4 linked regions of the Drosophila melanogaster genome follow. The protein of the gene in region 4 interacts with the protein of the main gene of each other region in a pairwise test. Each region holds a gene or a part of one and is shown on either strand. Other genes may lie near its edges. The genes, in order: CG9467, Hr3, btd and CG13482.

Evidence for each region.
Region 1: the proteins of CG13482 (region 4) and CG9467 interact in a two-hybrid assay, tested with the Drosophila melanogaster proteins (one large-scale study listed by BioGRID).
Region 2: the proteins of CG13482 (region 4) and Hr3 interact in a two-hybrid assay, tested with the Drosophila melanogaster proteins (one large-scale study listed by BioGRID).
Region 3: the proteins of CG13482 (region 4) and btd interact in a two-hybrid assay, tested with the Drosophila melanogaster proteins (one large-scale study listed by BioGRID).

Annotation. Positions count from the first base shown.
Region 1 is NT_033777.3:9,797,232-9,802,902, reverse strand, and holds CG9467 (uncharacterized protein), read left to right. Parts: upstream 1-1,876; 5' UTR 1,877-2,172; coding exon 2,173-2,234; intron 2,235-2,312; coding exon 2,313-4,443; coding exon of another isoform or gene 4,444-4,614; 3' UTR 4,615-5,134; downstream 5,135-5,671. Other genes in the region: CG8526 (uncharacterized protein), read right to left, coding at 1-989, 1,051-1,274, 1,327-1,423.
Region 2 is NT_033778.4:10,231,586-10,236,403, forward strand, and holds the start of Hr3 (hormone receptor 3), read right to left. Parts: upstream 3,023-4,818; 5' UTR 2,628-3,022; coding exon of another isoform or gene 2,289-2,627; 5' UTR 1,727-2,288; coding exon of another isoform or gene 1,196-1,726; coding exon 439-1,195; intron 1-438. Other genes in the region: CG12912 (uncharacterized protein), read right to left, coding at 2,289-2,627. UniProt on the Drosophila melanogaster protein: Putative receptor whose ligand is not yet known.
Region 3 is NC_004354.4:9,692,244-9,698,100, reverse strand, and holds btd (buttonhead), read right to left. Parts: upstream 3,916-5,857; 5' UTR 3,428-3,915; coding exon 2,694-3,427; intron 2,255-2,693; coding exon 1,054-2,254; 3' UTR 543-1,053; downstream 1-542. UniProt on the Drosophila melanogaster protein: Required for the development of the antennal, intercalary and mandibular segments of the head.
Region 4 is NT_037436.4:14,327,458-14,330,414, reverse strand, and holds CG13482 (uncharacterized protein), read right to left. Parts: upstream 1,070-2,957; 5' UTR 979-1,069; coding exon 670-978; 3' UTR 530-669; downstream 1-529.

The sequences.
Region 1 (5,671 bases), on a different chromosome or scaffold from region 4:
CCATCGCAGTTGGTGTCGCACAGATTGGCGCCGTACTGCTTAAGATCGCCCAACTTGTGGACATCACCTTCGGTGACCGCGGCCGCCACCAAAGCGGGATAGAATGTGGAGCACATCTGCTGCCGTTCCATCGCCGTCGACATGTGCAATGTGCGGGCCACGCCCTCGATCAGATCAATGTCGTTAATCTTGGCAACCTTATTGGTGGTCAGCTCTCCGCGCAAACTTAGTAGCATCACCTTCTTCTTGTTGGGAATGTCCCACTCCGGCTTGGACAGCACATAGGCCAGTTTGGTAAAGGCTGCCTCCTGAGTCATATCGTAGCCGGGTATTACGCCCACTTCCATCAGACCCTGGCTTGTCTCGTAAATGTTGGCCACCATGCCCGCCGAGCACTGCGTAATGTTGACAATAATAACGCCTCTGTGAACCGCCTCCCTCAGTTCGTCCAGCAAGTCCTCACGATTAACCGGAAAATTGCCGGCCCCAAAGGTCTGGAGGACAACACCTTTCGTTGGCTCTTTCAGGATTGCCTGCACCACACTGGCACTTATTCCCGGGTAAATACGCAGCAGCGCCACGTTCTTTTCGAGTTCCGAATGAAGTGAAAATGGTTTAATATTGCACGGTCGGAAGATTTGGCGGCTGTTGATCTCAATGTTGACACTCGCCCGACCCAATGGTGCAAAATTTGGTGAGTCCAGTGCGTGAAAAGAGTCAGAATTGAGCTTCGTGGAGCGACAGCCACGTAGAATCTTGTTGCCGAAGAAGACCAGCACTTCGGGTATACTGTAATTTCCTGCTATGAGAAGTGCGCCCAAGAAGTTCTCCCGCCCATCGCTGCGGGCTTCAAAGATCGGAATCTGTGCCCCAGTGAATACCACGGGCTTGTTCAGGCTCTCAAGCATGAACGCTAGTGCCGAGGCGGAGTAGGCTAGGGTATCCGTTCCATGGAGGATCACAAAGCCGTCGTAGGACTTGTATGTCTTCTGCGAAAAAAGTTAGTTGCATATTTTGTATTAACCTGATGATCCTCGACTCTCAACTTACTCCCACTTCGTTGGCAATGCGCTTCCAGTCGCAGAAGCCCATGCAGCTGGAGTCCATCAGTGGGCAGAACTCAATCAAATCGTAAAGGACTCTATACGGAGCTCCAGACACTGCGGGTAGCACCATCATGGGACCATCATTATCCTTGCTGGTGTAATTCCTGTCGTGGCAGCTGGGAAACTCTTGAAGCTGCCGAGCCAGCACCTTGGGCGCGGTGTGCAGTACTGATGAGAAACAATTGATTAGTACACGGACAAGAGCCATTGATATACCCACCTCCGGACTCGTTGCGGATCATTCCGATGGTTCCACCCACGTAGATGACATGGACGCGAGCCTCCTTCTTCAAACAACCGCACTTCGCCGCCGGCATTTTGGGCTTTTTCGAAATTTTGAGTGGTGTCCGAAACTAAACTAAAGCGTAGTTCCAAAGGCTCAGAGTGTGACAGCAAGATCCATGAGCTTTTTGTTTTGATGCTTAATACAAGTCATAACTTTACAATATTTTCAAATTTACCACCAAGCGAAATAAACCGTTGCTTGACGAAAAGGTGGTATGACCGTATTGCATGGGAATTTAACCGAGAGTTAGAGATGTACACTGCTTCACAAGAAATATCGTTGCTTATAATTGTGGAAATGCATATACTTTCTGATGCCCAAATTAATTTTATTTCTATATTAATTATTTTTTAATGATGAATTGTTGTTTGGAAACCATCAAAAACCTTGGTGAGTTAACACATACAAAATCAAAAGTGGAAAGTTCAGCAAAACAACTAAATGCAACAGGGACCCCCCGTAAACAGTGACTCGTCATGGCTGGGAACAGTCACGACCAATTTGCCCATCCCTAGTTTCTACAGTGCAGTGCAACAAATAATAAATAAATAAATAGCCTGGCACAAAGAGTTAATCGAATAAATTGCACCCCGCAGCGCACGTCAAGTGGGTTGGGTACCGAAATCGCGAGTTATCTGCTCCGCTGACGCCGCTGCCACTGCTCCGCCATATCAGTTGCTGATTGGAGCGCTGGGAGCACGGAAGCCACACAAATAGAGGCGCATTTAGAGCAATCCCCACCGTCCGCTGCTGCGGCAGCCCGCGGGTCATCGGATTGCCATGTCCCACTTCACGCATGCCTCCAGCAGCGACCTGGTCAACCTCAATGTGGGTGGTCAGCGGTAAGAACAAAGAACCAACACATTACGGCCCACTAACGGCATTGATGACGCATGCAAACTCCATCTCACTATCCATAGCTTTTCCACGTCGCGGCAAACGCTTACGTGGATCCCGGACACCTTCTTCACGGCTCTTCTCAGCGGACGCATCTCGAGTCTCAGAGACGAGCACAATGCCATCTTTATTGATCGCGATCCGACGCTCTTCTCGATCATACTTAACTACTTAAGGACCAAGGACATCGACATCAAGAACTGCGAAATACGCGCTCTGCGCCATGAGGCCGAGTACTATGGCATCACGCCGCTGACCAAGCGCCTGGCCCTCTGCGAAGACCTTAACCACTCGTCCTGCGGTGATTTGCTGTTCTACGGATTTCTGGCGGCGCCGCCCATGCCGTCAAACGAAGCTGTGGCTGCTACTAGCGTTGACGAGTCATTGCCCTCCACTTCGGCCAGTGCGATTGGCAGTCGTCCTGGGTCCATGGTGCGCGTTCCCGAACCCTCACGCTCCTCACACTCGCGCAATTCATCATGGGATCTGCGCCTTGGTCGCACAGGTAGCACTGGCAATGGTGCCAATCCCCCAGCTCCCATGTTGCACTCACGTAATCCCTCGATTGACTTTATGCGCCACTCTCGGAACTCCTCGGCCGATCTGAACAAAGTCTTTCGAAACGAAGTTGGCCTGGTATTCAGTCCCACGCAGAACTCAAACTGGGTGGACCCGTTGCGAGTGCAAATCATTAAGGCGCACCAAAATTGGATAGCAGTGGCTTACGCACACTTTGTGACTTGCTACCGGGTGAAAGACTCCAACGGATGGCAGCAGGTGTTCACATCGCCCCACATCGACGCCACTATCGAAAGAATCGCCATCAACTCAAAGGTGAATACTTCCGCAGCAGAGCCACTGCCCAGCAAGATGGTGGCCATTTCTTACGGCAGTCAGATAAGATTGTGGAGCATTCAGGAGGGCGGCCAGAAAACGGATGTGGGCACGTTTAATTTAAATGTGCGAGTGGAGTACCTGTTCTTTATCGGCAGTCAGCTGGTGGCCCTGTCATCTTCCGGCAAGATCGGCGTCTGGCATGCGATGACGCAGCACTGGCAGATTCAGGACCTAGTGCCCGTGCTCTCATTCGATTCCGCAGGCTCTTTTTTGCTGCTGGGCTGCAACAACGGCTCCATTTACTACATAGACATGCAGAAGTTCCCGCTCCGGATAAAGGACAATGATTTACTGGTTACCGAGCTCTACAAAGATGTCACACTAGACCCTATCACGGCCATCTCGGTCTACCTTACCCCAAAAACCTCGAGCATAAGTGGCAATTGGATTGAAATTGCCTATGGCACAAAGTCGGGAGCGGTTCGAATCATTGTCCAGCATCCGGAGACAGCTGGCCATGGACCACACCTGTTCGAGACCTTCTTTGTGCACCAAAGCCCCGTAACGAAGGTGATGCTGTCGGAGAAATACCTCGTCTCCGTGTGCAGCGAATACCACCACGTGCGAACATGGCGTCTGACCCGCTTCCGGGGCATGCTCTCCACCCAGCCGGGATCCACGCCGGAAGCATCGTTCAAAATCGTGTCGCTGGAAGCTACCGATACGAGCTACAGCTATGCGGCTGGAAATGATTTTGGACCTTACGGTGACTACGACGACATGATATTTGTGCAAAAGGTGGTGCCCGAGACGGATCAGCTGTACGTACGCTTGGCCTCCAACGGTGATCGGGTGTGCGTCATTAGATCCGTAGATAGCTCCACAATTTCGGCCTTCTGTGTGCTCGAGTGCGAGGTATCGTCCCGGTTCATACTCACCGGTCACTGCAACGGCGCTATTCAAATGTGGGACCTAACCACTGCACTGGCGCTGCTCTCCAAGGATGAGCCGCAGCAGAAAATCAATGGCGGACCCGACACCAATGAGCTTCTCCGCCTACTTGACCAGTGTGAAATCAGCAATTCATCATGCACAACACCTTGTATGTCACCGTGTCTATCAGCTATGGGCAACGGCTCTGGAATGGCCTCCTCCATAGCCCGCATGAAAGCCAGCAACATAGCCCTGCTAAATCGGGAACCAGCAATGGCAATGGCCGTCCAAGCCGTCCAGCCGCCCGCTCAGGTCCAACCTGCTCTTCCAGAGGCTGTGGCGCCGGCAGCTGCTATCCCGATGGCTGACGACAACAACGAATGAGACGTGGAAGCGGCTGCTTGATTGGCGCTTGTCGGGCGCGTTTCATCGTTTACATTTCACAGGTATAGCTTAATCTTCGACTACCAGTTTATATTCCTGCAGTTCGTGGTGTGCGCCCTCATCTACGTCTGGGTGACGCGACTCACCCGCGGTCCAGCCACTGGGCCGTGATGAACTGCCAGCAGGCATTTACCCAATCAATTAATCTCCATTATATGTGCTCGATGTGTTTGCAAATGCAATGTGTATCCCGTAAACCCATTTTTTGTGCTCCTCCAAACTTGGATCGTACAGTTAGTAATTTAAAAAAAAAACGTCTGTCTTTGTTCTAGTTAAAGTTATGAAAATTAGTTAAAACCATGTAAACCAGAGTATAAGACTTCTGCAACCGATCATCTATAATTAGCACAACTCTCCTAAAGGGTGCTCCATCAGGACAGATACGAAATCGTTCGGCTTGGATAAGATTGGTTGCCTTAAGCAAAGAAAGTTCATTAAACAGCCAATCAGTTGATTGTCAACCTTGAAGATGATTACTTGTGATTAAAATCGATAGAGCGACTGCTTCAAATTCGAATCTGTCCTGTTGCATGCAATGCCACACATGAATATAATGATACGCCTTGTTGCAACCAGTAAACAGCTATACATATTCAATATAAATAAAGATAATTATACACAAAGAGATATCAAAATAGCGAGCGAGTTGTGTCATCAATAATTTATTGAACATTTTATCTTAGTTTCTTGATGGTTGAAGTGTTCCATTAACATTTATCAAATACAAATACTTGGCTTGCATTCTCGTGGGTGTTGTGTGTGTAAATACGTGTATATACGATATCCTACGCCTATACCGGACCTCAGTAAAGTAAAAAAGCAGCAAAAACGCCAAAACATATAAAAATATATATAATATACATTTGTGTATTGTAGGTAAGTTACCCCAACCCAACCCCGACCGCCATTTAAATATCATTGGCCTAAACACAACCCACTAACGACCGCCGGTGTGCTTAATAAACAATTTAAACAAGTGGCTCGTCAAGTGGGACCCCTGCCTTTAATTTACCTAAAATAGGACGCACTGGTACTGAGATAGAATAATAATAATGGAGTAGATACTTGGAGCGATTACCCACCCTCGCCCGGAAGCAATTGTCGAGCCGTTCATACAAATAGTTTGTACACAAATTCAACCTAAAGCTATGCTATATTCTAAAGGGCA
Region 2 (4,818 bases), on a different chromosome or scaffold from region 4:
ATGCTTGCGCAATGGGCGAGCGTTCATTTGCATAGCTCGGATTCTGGCGTGGAATGGGGAAGGGGGAAGGGGGAGGGGATCTGGGGGATATGGGTGCGATTATCTGAACCATCGCTGATCGTTGGTGGTCGCTCTGGGCGAGTGCTCACTGTGCTGTGGTTAGCCGGCGGTTGTTCGCAACAAGTGGAATTCTTGCCGAGTTTTCTGGGGTGCGAACTCATCACTCGCGGGAATCCTTGACTTAAGGTCTTTCAAATATTTGCTACAATCACTCACAATGGCTTAGTAAAATTCTTTAACGTTTGTTAAGAGCAAGAGTGACGAAGAACATTGCTTTTGCATATGAAGATATATTATTGGTAGATATATTATCGTCTCGAACAGTATATATATTCCCAAATTGACTAAAATATAATTGAGAGTTGCACTGGAACATACCTGTCATGGCTCCATTACTGCCGCTGCTGCTGCTGCTGTGCTCTCTGCTGTTTTCTCTGGCCGATGTTGCTGTTGCACTTGCTGTTGCTGCTGATGTTGCTGCGGCTGCAGATGTTGCTGATGTTGCTGTTGTTGTGGCAGCGGGCTTGTGAGTCGTGAGCGGTGGCATTGGTGGAGGAGTTCGCTCCTTTGTGCGTTTTAGGGAGCCCTCCTGGCTGGTATTGCTGGCCATGTTCTTGCACACGGAACTGATATTGCTGATGCTGCTAAAGCTGCTGAGACTGCTGAAGCTGCTGGAGCGTGCCAATGCCGGTGGATCCGATAGGAATTTCACCTGCTGCTGCTGCTGTTGCTGCTGCTGTTGTGGCCGCGACTGTGCTGGCCTGGTGGTCGCCAATCTCTTGGGCGCCGGAGGCTCTGGTTCAGTCTCATCCTCGGGCTCGCCCTCCGCCTTTAGCTCAGCCTCGAGCTCGTTTTCCAAGTCCGGCTGCACGGTGGCTATGATGGTGCCGTCCTCGTTGGCCTGCTCGAAGCAGACGTCCAGCAAGGTGGCTCCGCCACCGGCCTGTAGGCCGGCAATATCCTTGAGATCTATCCAACTGGCGCCCAGCTTATCAGCATCGCTGAGGGGCAAGCTCAGTACTCTCGTGTCGCCCTCGTCCACGATGTGGAAGGATTGCGTGGGCTCGATCTTGACGATGATGGGCTGGTTGGCCAGGATTTGGGCGGGTGGCGCACTGCCCAGCAAACTGGCCATGTTCTCCTCCTCCTCGTCGGCGGCCTCCAGTTCGCTGAGCTGCTGCTCGATCTGCAGGTAGGTATTACTGCTGGAGTTGGCTGCCACACCCGACTGCTGCTTCAGTACGTCCAGTTTGAGGACCGTGCACTTGTCGGTCTGCTGGTACTGGTGCTGCTGCTGGGGTCGTGGCAGCAGTGTCAGGGCGGGAGCACCCGATGTTCCAGAACCTTCCGTTATAAAGGCCAATGGTGGAGACGTGCCCGTGGATTTGGTGGACACACTCCGCGACGACTGGATCAGCTGGGGCAGTGCTGGCGGTGCTCCTCCACTGCCGCCAGTGCCAGAGGCACCGCTACCACTGCGTGCCACAATGGTGGTCGAGACGGGCAGCGGGATTATTGAGATGGAGGGCACCTTGCTGCGCAGATTGGCCACCGCCGCTGCTGTGGCGGCATCGGTGCCGATATACGTTGGACCACCGCTGGAGGATTTGCTGCCGCCGGCGGGCTTGGCCTGCTGTATCAGCAGGAGATCTCTGGGCCTATCCGTTGTGGCGGCCGTTTACTCACAAAGGCTCTCAAATGTCCGGATTTCGCCTTCGCTTAAAACACTAAACACTCACACTTTCACTTGGTTCATTGCTTGAATTTCTTGGGTTCTTTTATGCTTGTATTTGTTACTTGTTATATTTGGTTTTTTTTTTGGGTGTAGAAGCACAACATCGAAATAAATTGAAAATCAGCCTTACGAAAGTGCACTTAAAAAATTGTCGACTAAACAAGTTCATTCATACTGCATTGCCTCGATTGCTTGTCAATTGGTGTAGATACCCCAGAGGGGGTGGCCTAATGAGGGGCTGAGGGTTCGAAAAGGGGGGGGAGTGGGCTTTTAGGGGCGTAGTGGGGTCTGCAGATGCACCTGTGCGTTTCGTTTCGTTCGGTTCGTTTTTGGTTCGTTTTGCAGCTGGAAATACGCGTCGTATACTTAACGTAACTTTGTGCGATGCATAGAGTTCGACATTCCGATTAATGCTTTCCACTTGTGTTGGTTTTTGAGTAAATTTTGGGCTAGTCTTTTCGGTTTTGGGTTGTGTTTAACTTTACTTTACTGCCTAATATGCAGCAATTGTTGCTGTGCTTCGGTGACTGAGCCTGCTTCTGTATCTGTGTCCTCCGCGTTTGCCTGTGGTCGTTGTCATCCTCGTTTTCGTATCCTGCTGCTGCTGCTGTTGTTGCTGCTGTTGCTGTTGCTGCTGCTGCTGCTGCTGATGTTGCTGCTGCTGTTGCTGTTGCTGCTGCACATGCAACGCGTCGCCGCTGGATGGCTGCAAGGCTGCGCTGCAGCATTCGGTAGTGTCAGCGCCATTGGAACCCGACCACGTCAAAACAGTTGGAAGTGTGCCTCTGGATCTGGATGTGGATGTGCCAATGTTGCTGTTGATTTCCCACATCGCGGCACGCAACCCTATGCAACCACCACCCCAAGCACCACCTCCATCCTCACGGCAACAACAACCACCAGCTGTGTGGAAAGTGGCTTTAATAATCGATTTTTCAGCGGCACACTTGCGAATCAATATTTGGCAAACAGGAGCAGCGCTGCAGCTTTCCCTTTTCCTAATCGGATTTCTATCCCTTTAGCTTCGATATTAATTAAGCACTGTGTTCAATTTTGTTTCACTTTTGGCTGGTTTGTGGATTTCACTGTTTCAATATTTGTATTTTCACTTTCAGAGATTTGTGGCTAAATGCACCGCGCGCGTTTTTTTGTGACTCCTTTTTGTCGATTTTGCGAAGCAGCTGACCGGAGCTGCGTCCTTTACAGGAATGTGTCCCAAATTCGAGTGCCACAAACACAGTTCGTTCTGCCGCTGCACAAACTTTCCGTTTCGTGGGGGTTGCGCCTCAGTTTCTGGGAAAAGGAAAATCCGAGTGTGTGTGTGCGTGTGTATCCGCATGCAAGTTGAAAAATGGGACTCGCTGCGAACTGCTGCGAAAATAGGGTTAGTAGGCATAATGCCAAGTGCATAGCCAGGAAAAACTGGAAGCCACAACACGAAGGAAAACGAGCACAGTCGAACGAACGTTTGTTGCGCAGCTTTTCCACCCCTAAAACTCTCAGTGGGGGCGGGGGCGGGCTAAGGGCCAGGAAAATTCCCGTCGTGGTGATAAAGCGTCATGGGAAATTTCTGCACGCTCGAGGTGGAAATTCCAAGGGCGGAAAATTTTGAATGAGTCTTCTGGGCTTGACTTTCGACATTTACTCAACTAACAACTGAAACTGCCATTTATAATATTTGTAAAAATTCATAAAATTAGTTAATAAAAAATCAACTATGATATATATTTTTATATATACATGTTTAAAAAGAAACATATTTGGTAAACAAATATTTTCTTTTGTTATGCATTTAAATAGTGCATAAGATATGTAATTCATGGTTAACCCCTCGTTTATAAACCAAATTTGTAGAACACGGATAAACTATAGATGCAGTAGTAAGTCATTATATATACGAAGTCTTGTCTACTACAAGCTGTGTAAAGATAATATACATGTATTTATAATTATATAGTATGTATATAAAAAGCTTTAAAGTGTCATAAATAGTATGAACATTGGCACATATATATTTTTAAATGAGTCATAAAATGCGCATTTTTAGTGCTCTCAAAACTACAAGAATGCACTAAAATGTTAAGCTCGCTAATTAAAGCTGCCAATGCCAATTTGGGCAAAAACCAATCAAAGAACAGCTATGACCACAATGACCCTCGAGTCAAGAATGCCCAAAAAAAGGGGCGAACCGAGAACATCTCGGCCATTGGCCAACAGACGGGGCAAATTTGAACTAATCGCCCAACTGGGCCCCAGCCCAACCGATCGGATCGAGCCATCATTAGGGCGGGGAGGGGAGTGGGGGAATTGGGTGGCATAGGGCCAAACTTCTTATAGAGGAGGGTCGATGATGGCGAACGGAGCGACCACCGTTAGGACGGATTCGGATTCTGATTCGGAGCCAAGACTCAAGCATCGGCATTAATATTTCATGTTTTTCCGTTGCTTAAATCATGTTAGATTTATTCTGCGCCGCATTCAGCTGCCGCTTGCGCAACAACAATCAAGAGCTAACTGGTAACTGGTAACTGGTTGGTGGTTCTGCCAACCAGCTTACTAGCAGCTTGCAGCTAAACTTGGCTAAAACACCGTTGGTTCTAACGTGAACGCGAAATGTGTGCCTCACCGTTGTAAACTTCTTGCGGCGGCTGTTGCCTCATCATCTATTGCAAGTCTGTGCCGATTCTAACCTGTTTTCTCTGCAGAAACTCTCCGAAAAAGTCCCGTAAGAAAGTCCCAGTTATTCAAGAGGAAAAACCTGTTACACGCAACTGGCTCAGAGAGCTGATTGCCAAGAAAATGGAGACGGAGAAAAGCAAAGAACAGAACAGAATCAAAAAGAAGCCAGCGTATAGCCACAATAGCAGCAGAAACAGCAAACACGTTAGTACCGTTGCCTCGGATTCTTTGTTGCGCAACTGTGTTGCAAGATTAGCTGCGACTTCCAACTGGTTTATTGCAGCCCCACTGTCGATGAGGCAACAGTTGGCCGGGCCATTACTGTTGTTCTGCCTTGAAGATGT
Region 3 (5,857 bases), on a different chromosome or scaffold from region 4:
GAAGAGATCTAAAAGTGGTAAGCCGCTTTTAGTGAGAAAAACTACTATTAAATCACATCCGATTGTTATGAAATTCTACAACTATGTGTATCTTGACTAAATAAATCATTGTATTTAAGGATATATACATATCACATTCGTACCTTTATTTATGCACATTTTAAAGTAAAGCAATCTATAAATGATGTACATCTCCCAAGCTAACAATGTTTTTGCAATTTTAAAGCGATGGCCGACGTTGATGAAATTATAACTAGAAATGCAGACAGCTATAATGATTGCTATTGAAAAAGTTTCTATTATTATCCAAATACCGCCAAAGGTCAGCACCCAAAAGCAGATCAAGTTCGCCGGAAGTCGGGAAGCTTCCTGGATCCCTCGATTTATATGCAAGAAAGCAACCCCTGGCGGAGATCAAACAACCCTGAAATCTAACCAAGCCAGGAACCCATTAACAAGGGTGCGTCGGGATCGGAGAGAATAATAAAAAACTGGATTCGCTTTGTTTTCCGATATTATTTTGTTCGTTTTTTTTTTTTATTGTTAGGATTTCATTTCAGTGTGGGGATTTTGTCGCCTTGGATTTTTCACTTTTTGTTGTTGTATATAATTTATCTTAAAGACAATTAACAATTATTATGGTACACAACTAGATGGTTTCTCTCATTCTATATGGTATGGCTTAAAAAGAACGCTATATATGTTTGTATGTACAGACATGCAAAAAAAAATGCCTTAGCTACTAGATTGGGGGAAAAAAAATGAAAAAAATTCAAGTTCTAGTCTCTACATGTATAGTTAATATATGTGTATGTATATATATATATATATATTTATATAATATTATATAATGCCTTATACGGTATTTTGTGAATTCAAATTTTTTTTTGATTTTCACATTATATTTTTATATCAACAATAAACACTGAAAAAAAAACACACACTAGATTTTCGTTCTACGCTTGCTTTGTTGCCGTTCTGGGTTTTGGGACATTATGGCATTTGTTTCATCAACTTTCAACTGTAACAATTTTGGGAAGGATCGGGGACATCCTAGGCGGTGGCATGTGGATGATAGGCCGCTGCCCACGCATTGTGATGGTGCGGATGTGGATGCGGATAACCGTAACTGGCTGTTCCCGCACCAAAATCAGCCGGATAACTGGCCGCATACTCGGACTTCATGTGGCAACTGGAGCTGGAATCCTGGCTAGCTCCGCTGGCCAATCCGCTCATGGTTAGCCCATATTCCGCCGCCAGCTGGGACTCACTTTGCATGGCAAGTGCGGCATAATGATGCTGGGCCAGCGCCGTGGCTGATGCGGCTGGGGAAGATGCAGATCCAATGGCAGAAACGACCGCTGCCGCTGGGGAACTGGCGCTGGAGGATGAGGATGAACTGGCTGAGGTAGTGGCTGGTTGTATGGCACGGCTGCTGCTACTGCTCCACGGCTGCTCCACAAAGCTGGCCGCCGCCGATGATGTTGTCGTCGTCATCTGCTGCTGGAAGAGCGGCGGCGGTGGCGGCGGAGGATTCACACTCGATCCGGCGGATGTGGAATGCTGATAGAGATTGGCATAGGGCGCATAGTTGACCAGCGGTGTCGTATCCGGCTGCTCCTGCTTGAATTCCACGGGTGGCGTCAGTGGCTTACCCGACTTCTTCTCCTTCTTTTCCAGCTTTATCGCCGCAGCCGCCTGCTCCTTGGCCTCGGCGGCCAATACCTTCTTGCTCTTCTTGTCCTTGAAATGGGTCTTCTTGTGCTTGCTGAGGTGATCGCTGCGCGAAAACTTCTTGGAGCAAATGGGGCAGGCATACGGGCGGTAATTGGTGTGCGTACGTCCGTGCCGCTGCAGCTCATCCGATCGGGAGAAACGCTTGCCGCACGTGAGGCACAGGAAGGGCCGCTCGCCGGTGTGCCAGCGCAGGTGGGTCTTCAGATGCGACGCCTTACCGTATAGCCGTTCGCAGCCCGGAATGTGGCAGATATGCTGCTTGCGTCCGCGCTCATCCGGACCCACAATCGGTGGCAGGCCGCTCATCTCGTTGGTGCAATTGGGACACGTGCAGCGAACGGAGCGGCGTTGCAATTGCGTCTGGAAGGCGATGTCGTCGAAATTGAAGCCCGGATAGCTCTGTGAACTCCATGGCTGATAGAGGCGCTCCTGATGCGAGAACCAAGCGGCCGAGGAGGACATGCCCACCGCATTGCCGTAATAATCGGAGGCGTACTGGGCATATGGAAACTGACTTCTAGATGGAGAAAAGAAATGAAGACAGAGAATGGTTAATTTGGTTTTTTTTAATCATTTACTTAATGGGTACACCTGCTATCGGAATACTAAATTGTAATGTATTCAAGTGGTACCTATCATTTTATAAGTTTATGAGATTATTTGTATGCTAATCCATTTCAATCTTCGGGATAATTTGATTAATATATTCCTATGTATTAAACTGTATAATTTGCAAAAGATATATGTCTTTATCTCGCTCATGATCGAAATACAATCAGCCTGTAGTTATTCTATTAAAAGGAGATCTAATTCAGATCGAAATTAGTGTATCCCTAATAACCACAAATTTGATGATCTATAAGCTTTGATTTATTGATCACTAGCATTTTAAAGTTTCTTTCTTACGAATGATTCCCAACTCAACTTCTGTAAATCCTATATATAGGGATATTTACCTCGCTGGCCCCAATCCGGAGTAGGCGGTATTCCAGCCGTAGGCGGCACTGGCGACCGCCGCTGCTCCAAGGTCCGCTGCTGCCGCCGCAGCTGCTGCTGCCGCCGCTGCAGCCGATGCTGCTGACGAGGATGGTGAGGAGGATGTGGGTGATCCCGCTAGGGCGCCCGCTGCCGCCGTTGTTGGTGGCGCCAAGGTCGTGGTGGGCGTGGATGGACTAGCCGAAATGGAGGCGAATGACTGGGCAGGTGATGGGAAGATGCTGGGCGACACGGAGGCCGATGATGGCGCCGATTGTATGCTGGAGTTGGGCGATGCGGTGCCCGTGGATGAGGCCTGTGGATACGGCAGTTCCAGCTTCATTGGCGGCTTTCCATATAGCGGAGAACTGCCGGAGCTGGAGCCGGAACTCGAGCCGGATAGGGATGGTGGGGCGGACAGCAGGGCGGCGGCGCTGAGGAAGTCATGTTGCTGCTGTTGCGGCTGTTGTTGTTGCTGCTGTTGCTGCTGCTGTTGCTGCTGTTGTTGTTGCTGCTGCTGCTGTTGCTGTGTCAAGTGTTGCATATGCTGCTGTTGCGCCTGCTGATGCGACAAGTGCAGATGATGTTGCGCCTGCTGCATGTGCAGATGATGTTGCTGTTGTTGCGCGTGTTGCTGATGTTGCGCATGTTGCTGCTGCTGCGCCTGATGCTGTTGCGCATAGGGATTTAAGTAATTGCAGGCCGCATCGATCATGTTGAAAACGCTTGCGATTTTAATGTTGCGCTGAGATTTGTTTGGATCCTACTGCTGCGATTGCTGCTGCGTTTTACTGCTTCTGGTTGCTACTGCGTTCGTTAACAATTTTCGCACATTGCTCTTGCACTTATTGATATTCGCTCGTGTAATTATGGCACGCTTTTCACTTTAGTTTTATAATTATAGTCTTTTGCTGCCGCGCACGTAATTGCGAGCACGCGGAGGAGAACACGGAAAAAACACAAACAAATTAAAGGCGGCCGAAAATTCGCCAATGCTGCGTGCAAATATATATATATATATATCCCTCTATATATACAAATCTATATGCATATATATATATATAGATCCGAAAACGAGCGAGTTTCTCTGCTGCCACTGCGGCTGGCTCTTCTGCTTCTTCTTCTTTCGTTCGTAGTGCTGCTGCTGCTGCGCGTGATGTGATGTGATACAACCACCGGTAATTATCGTCGATTGTCGACTGAATTCCAAAACGCGGCGAGAGAGTCTAACAACGTACAAAACGAATCCACTTGGCTGCGGGCAGAGGCGCGGGCAGAGGGCAGCGGCAGCGCTGCTGCTGCTCGTGCTGTCACATTCTCGCACTCGTCTATCGCCACTGAGCGCTGAGCCAGCTCTCGCTCTCTCTCGCTCTCGGCACCATCATGGTGGTTGTTTTTGGCCGCAACGGTGTGCCTTCGGGGCAACTCGCTTCGTCTCGCTTGCACGTGTGGCGCGGAAGTGTCACTCCCGGCAGCAGCAGCCACTCTCCGTAGCTAGCTCACTCTCTCTCTCTCTTTCGCTCTTGCGGTATGGTGCTCTCTCTCCACGTTGCTGTTGCAGTGTTGTTATTGCTGGCGCTGCTGCCGCGGGCGTTTTGTTTTAATTTCTATGTGTGGGTTTGTGTGTCAAAGCAATTGGGTGAGCATGCGTTTTGTTGTTGCTGTTGTTGTTGTCGTTTCAGCTAGTGCTCAAAATGCTTATATTTGTTGTTATTGTTGGTTATATCTAAACTTTAAGCCAAAAATGTTGGCTTAAATTTAATGCAAAGTTTGTATTTAAGAATATGTGTAAATAATTTACATTATTAGCATTTTTAGTGAAGTATTTGAAATATTTGATTAGTGAAGTATTTGAAATATTTTATTATTTAGTTGGTTAATCTATATATTCCATAATTTATGTTTATTTTAACCCTATCAACCCCTCAAAATGTGTATAAAATAAATAACGTATTCACGTATCCTTTGCAATTCAAAATAAAGAGCTTAGCAAATATTTTAGAAAAATTGTATTAATTTTTTTTAAGTCTGCTAACTTAGAGATAGTTTCTAACTACAAATTTAGTTTTTATTTTCAATTTTAAACATTTAAATTTCTCATATAAACCTTAAGTACACACAAAATATAGGTATTGTTACATATATCCGACCGATTTTTAATGCCCATAAATTACTCGACATTTTACACATTTCAAGTACCGTCATTAAAAGCACGAATATCTGCTTAAATTCTCATTATCCCCTTGCCCACTCAGACCATCAATTTGTTTCGATGAAAGTAAGCAGACAGAGAGAAAGAAGTATGGCTCATCACTTTAATTAAATTAAAATTTCTGTTTAATGGCATTTTTCTCCAGAGGATCCCAATGATAAAAAGTAACGTTAGAAGACGAAGAGGGAGCGTGCATAATTCAAATATCAATACAATAACAATAAAAACTAATAAATTTGTGGTCGCGGCCCAATGAAATAACTGTATTTAAAGGGGCGTTGACCAAACACCACCACAAAAGAGACAGCAGCTCTCTCCTTCGCTCTCTCTCTCTCGCATGGCCTGCGCCCGTTTCGTGTGTGCGTGCGTTTGTGTATGCTTGTGTGCCGCATATTAATCACAATTGCTGTTGCTGTTGTTGTTTTCGCTCCCTTTTTATTACGCGGCGTCTTTTTTATTACGCATACGCAACGTGGGTCTGAGCCACAAATTTTACGACTTGCTGCTGCTGTGAAAAGATAATGATGACTCCCAAAACGGAACAAGCTCACGGAAGTGCATCTCGACTCTTAAGCTACCCATTGTTAAGATGAATATCATTATGTAGGGGATTTCTTGGGATAATATGAGATTTAATGTTTAACCAACTGATATGACTCAATACTATTGCACTCCAAGTATTTCTGAGTTTCAGATATATTTTACTATGTGTCAAAAATTGTTAAGACTTTTTTTAATATTGTTCAAATAAACATACAATTTGTTATGGGCTTAAATAAAAGAAAAAGTTGTTGTTCCTGATTTGTCAGTATTATTCGTAAGTGAACAAGTAGTTTGTTACAATACAAACAATTGGAATATTAACTATTAAATATTTTAGAATACATCAAAATCGAGTATGCCCAAGTTGGGCTTTACAGGGTACCAGCCGCA
Region 4 (2,957 bases):
AATTAGCGTTTTGTGACAACCGCAGAAAAATAAAAGCGTTTCGAAATGGGTTTGTAATTGGCAAACATTTTGTTTGACCCACCCGAAGCGAATCTAAGCCGTACTAAAATTATATTTAATTTCATTTGTATTTATCGGCTTACAAACTTGTTTTCGTGGGTGGTCTTGTTTTGTGTTTGTGGTTGCCAATAATCTTCTTATTGGATTAGAATTTCTTGAATTATTAAGTTTTAAAATTATTCTTGATTCCTTTGGCTTTAAAATCAGCTTTATATGTATAGAGAATCGTTCAATTACGTTTTGGTGAAATCTTTGCGTCATGTCAATCAAGATAAGATTAGTTGTTATTTTATACTTTATCGTATGGACATTTGTTAACTAAGTGCGCAGTACACGTATTTTTGGAATGCAGAAATCCATTACGAGTACATACATATATAAAAAATTCTACATGAATTATCATCGTACTTCTTAATTTATTTATTTTTACTTTCCCCAAGGAAACTAGCATTCAAAAATGTCTTTGTATAAGTCTAAGTGGTTTTAATGATTTTTTTGGTTTTGTTTTTTGTACACTTTATGTAATAAATTAAATTCGCTTATAAACACTTTCATTATTTCGCCACCTGATGGCTGTGGTTTTTAAGACCTTCCTTCCATTCCATTGTACTAGCAGTGATGATGATGATGTCCATGGTGAGGACCATGATGATGGTCAAAGTGGCTGCCGTGGTGATGATGATGATGATCGTAGTGGGGCGGCGGTGGCGGAGGTCCGTAGTGGTGGTGGTGGTGCGGCGGGGGTCCGTGGTGGTGCATTGGAGGTCCGTGGTGGTGATGGTGGTGCACCGGAGGCGGTGGGTGATAGTGGTGCACCGGAGGCGGTGGATGATGGTGGTGGTGATGATGTCCACCTCCACCCAAATTCAGGCCAAGGTGGATTCCAAACAGGCGATTTTCGTGATGTGGCGGCGACATTTTGAATGTTTTACTTTTTTTAATCCTTATCAAACTGATATATTCCTTTCGAAAACTGCTCTCGTTGCTTGTTGAATGCTAACTGCCTTTCCATCCGCTGATATGACCAGTTTATATACACATCCCACTTGAACAGCTTGACAATTCAGATAGTATTATTGTTGTGCTGCTTTATCTTATCGAAGGGGGTGTGTATTCGACTGACTCACTGGGGATTCACTTCGATTCTATTGCTAATACTCAAAGTGGGCTATAAAGATAGCAATGTTTTTGTGCAATCATGGATCGGGAATTACTCACCGGACTAATTCATAACATTTAAGCGCTTTTATTCTTTTCATTCTTAACGAATGTAATGACAGTAATAGTAATAGCAGATGTAAGAAAAAACAAAAAGTATTTCGCAGACAAAACATCAATTTGATATTGCAAAAAAAAGGATGCTGACAAATAGATATGTAAAAGGTAAAATAAAACTTTAAGACCCCGCCAACAATAATTTCCGCCTTGTTTGCCAGACGTAGTCCTAAACAAAAAATAAGAAAATACAGTACGAAAGAAGAAAAGCGAGGAAAACCAAAAAGGCACTAAAGACACCCAACACAAGCACAGAGAAAGTGCGAGCAGGAAGGCAATAACCAGAAAGCTTTTGCATGAAGATTGGCATGGGTGGAGGTGTTTATATACCCCCTTTCGACCATTTCAATAAAAAAAATTGCACAGAAAGAAACAATCTCTTGATATAATTTCTTCTTATCAACACTTGCATAATATTTTCGTCTTTAGCTTGACAATCTTATCAGTGTATTGAGTATGAGTTATTTACCATGAAGAGGATATCTCTCAAAATAGGTACATGATTTTAGGGATTCCCTGTAAACTAATGTTAACTTTTCATAATGTTGCTAAAATAAAGTAGCTTTTTTAACTGATCTTATTAATAGAATATTTGATATTTACTGTAAGACTAGAGCCTGCGTACTGATGTAATATAATTTTGAGCCGAGTTATTAAAAACCAATGATTTTCTCAGTGCACCACACAACTCCACATGAAGGCGACTTCAGTGCGTGACAATAACTTTTGCCTTTGAGCCGCCTTAATGGCATGGGAAGGATGACTTTTGGGGGTGTTGGAATTAAGGGATGAGGGGCCACGGGCTGCGGACGACTCTGATAAACTGCGTTAGAAGTTATAAAGCGATTAGAGTGTGTCTGGAGTGCGTCTTGGGAGCAAAAGAGTGGGGTAGACAGAGCGGGCTAAGAGAAGGAAACAACTTTATGCTGTATCAATTTAATGCTTATTTAAAGTGCGACCAGAGGTTTTGTCCTCCTGCAGTTCAGGGAGCTAAAACGATATAGGAAATGAGTAAAAAAGAAGCTGGAAAGTAGGGGGAAAGCAAATAGAAGGGGGCAATGCAGGTAATACATAAATTTGATTTTATGGAGTTGCTTTTCAAAGAACTTCTGCAAAAGTTTGGTAATACATTTTATTAGCTTTGTAAAGAAATCTTTTGGTGGTAGATAAGGCAACCTTGGAGGAAAATAAGAAGAAAAGGATATTTGAGAAAGTTTTAGAAAAAAACTTCGAAGTTTATTAATGAAATTGGAACAATAAATTGAATTTATTGGCAACTTATTATAAACTCATAATAAATAGTAATTTACAAGAAACCTCAGGAAGTCTCAGAGATTTGCAATAAATCATAAGCAAATCATAATAAAATAACATGTCCTTCATACAAATTCATAAAATCTAATTTTATTCTGTAAAAAAAAAATACATTAGCACGGCCATAAAGCAGAGAATATCCCCTTAAAAACTCACTTTAGTGCTACCGTACCGAAAGCTTTTCAGACTTGATCATCTGGCTCATTTTCCCCCGCTGGTTTTGTTTACACATCCAATGAAAATTCCACTTTCAGTCTGGCACGTTTGGAAGGTTCCCCATGGGGAAGCGTTAGGCCACCCCATTCATA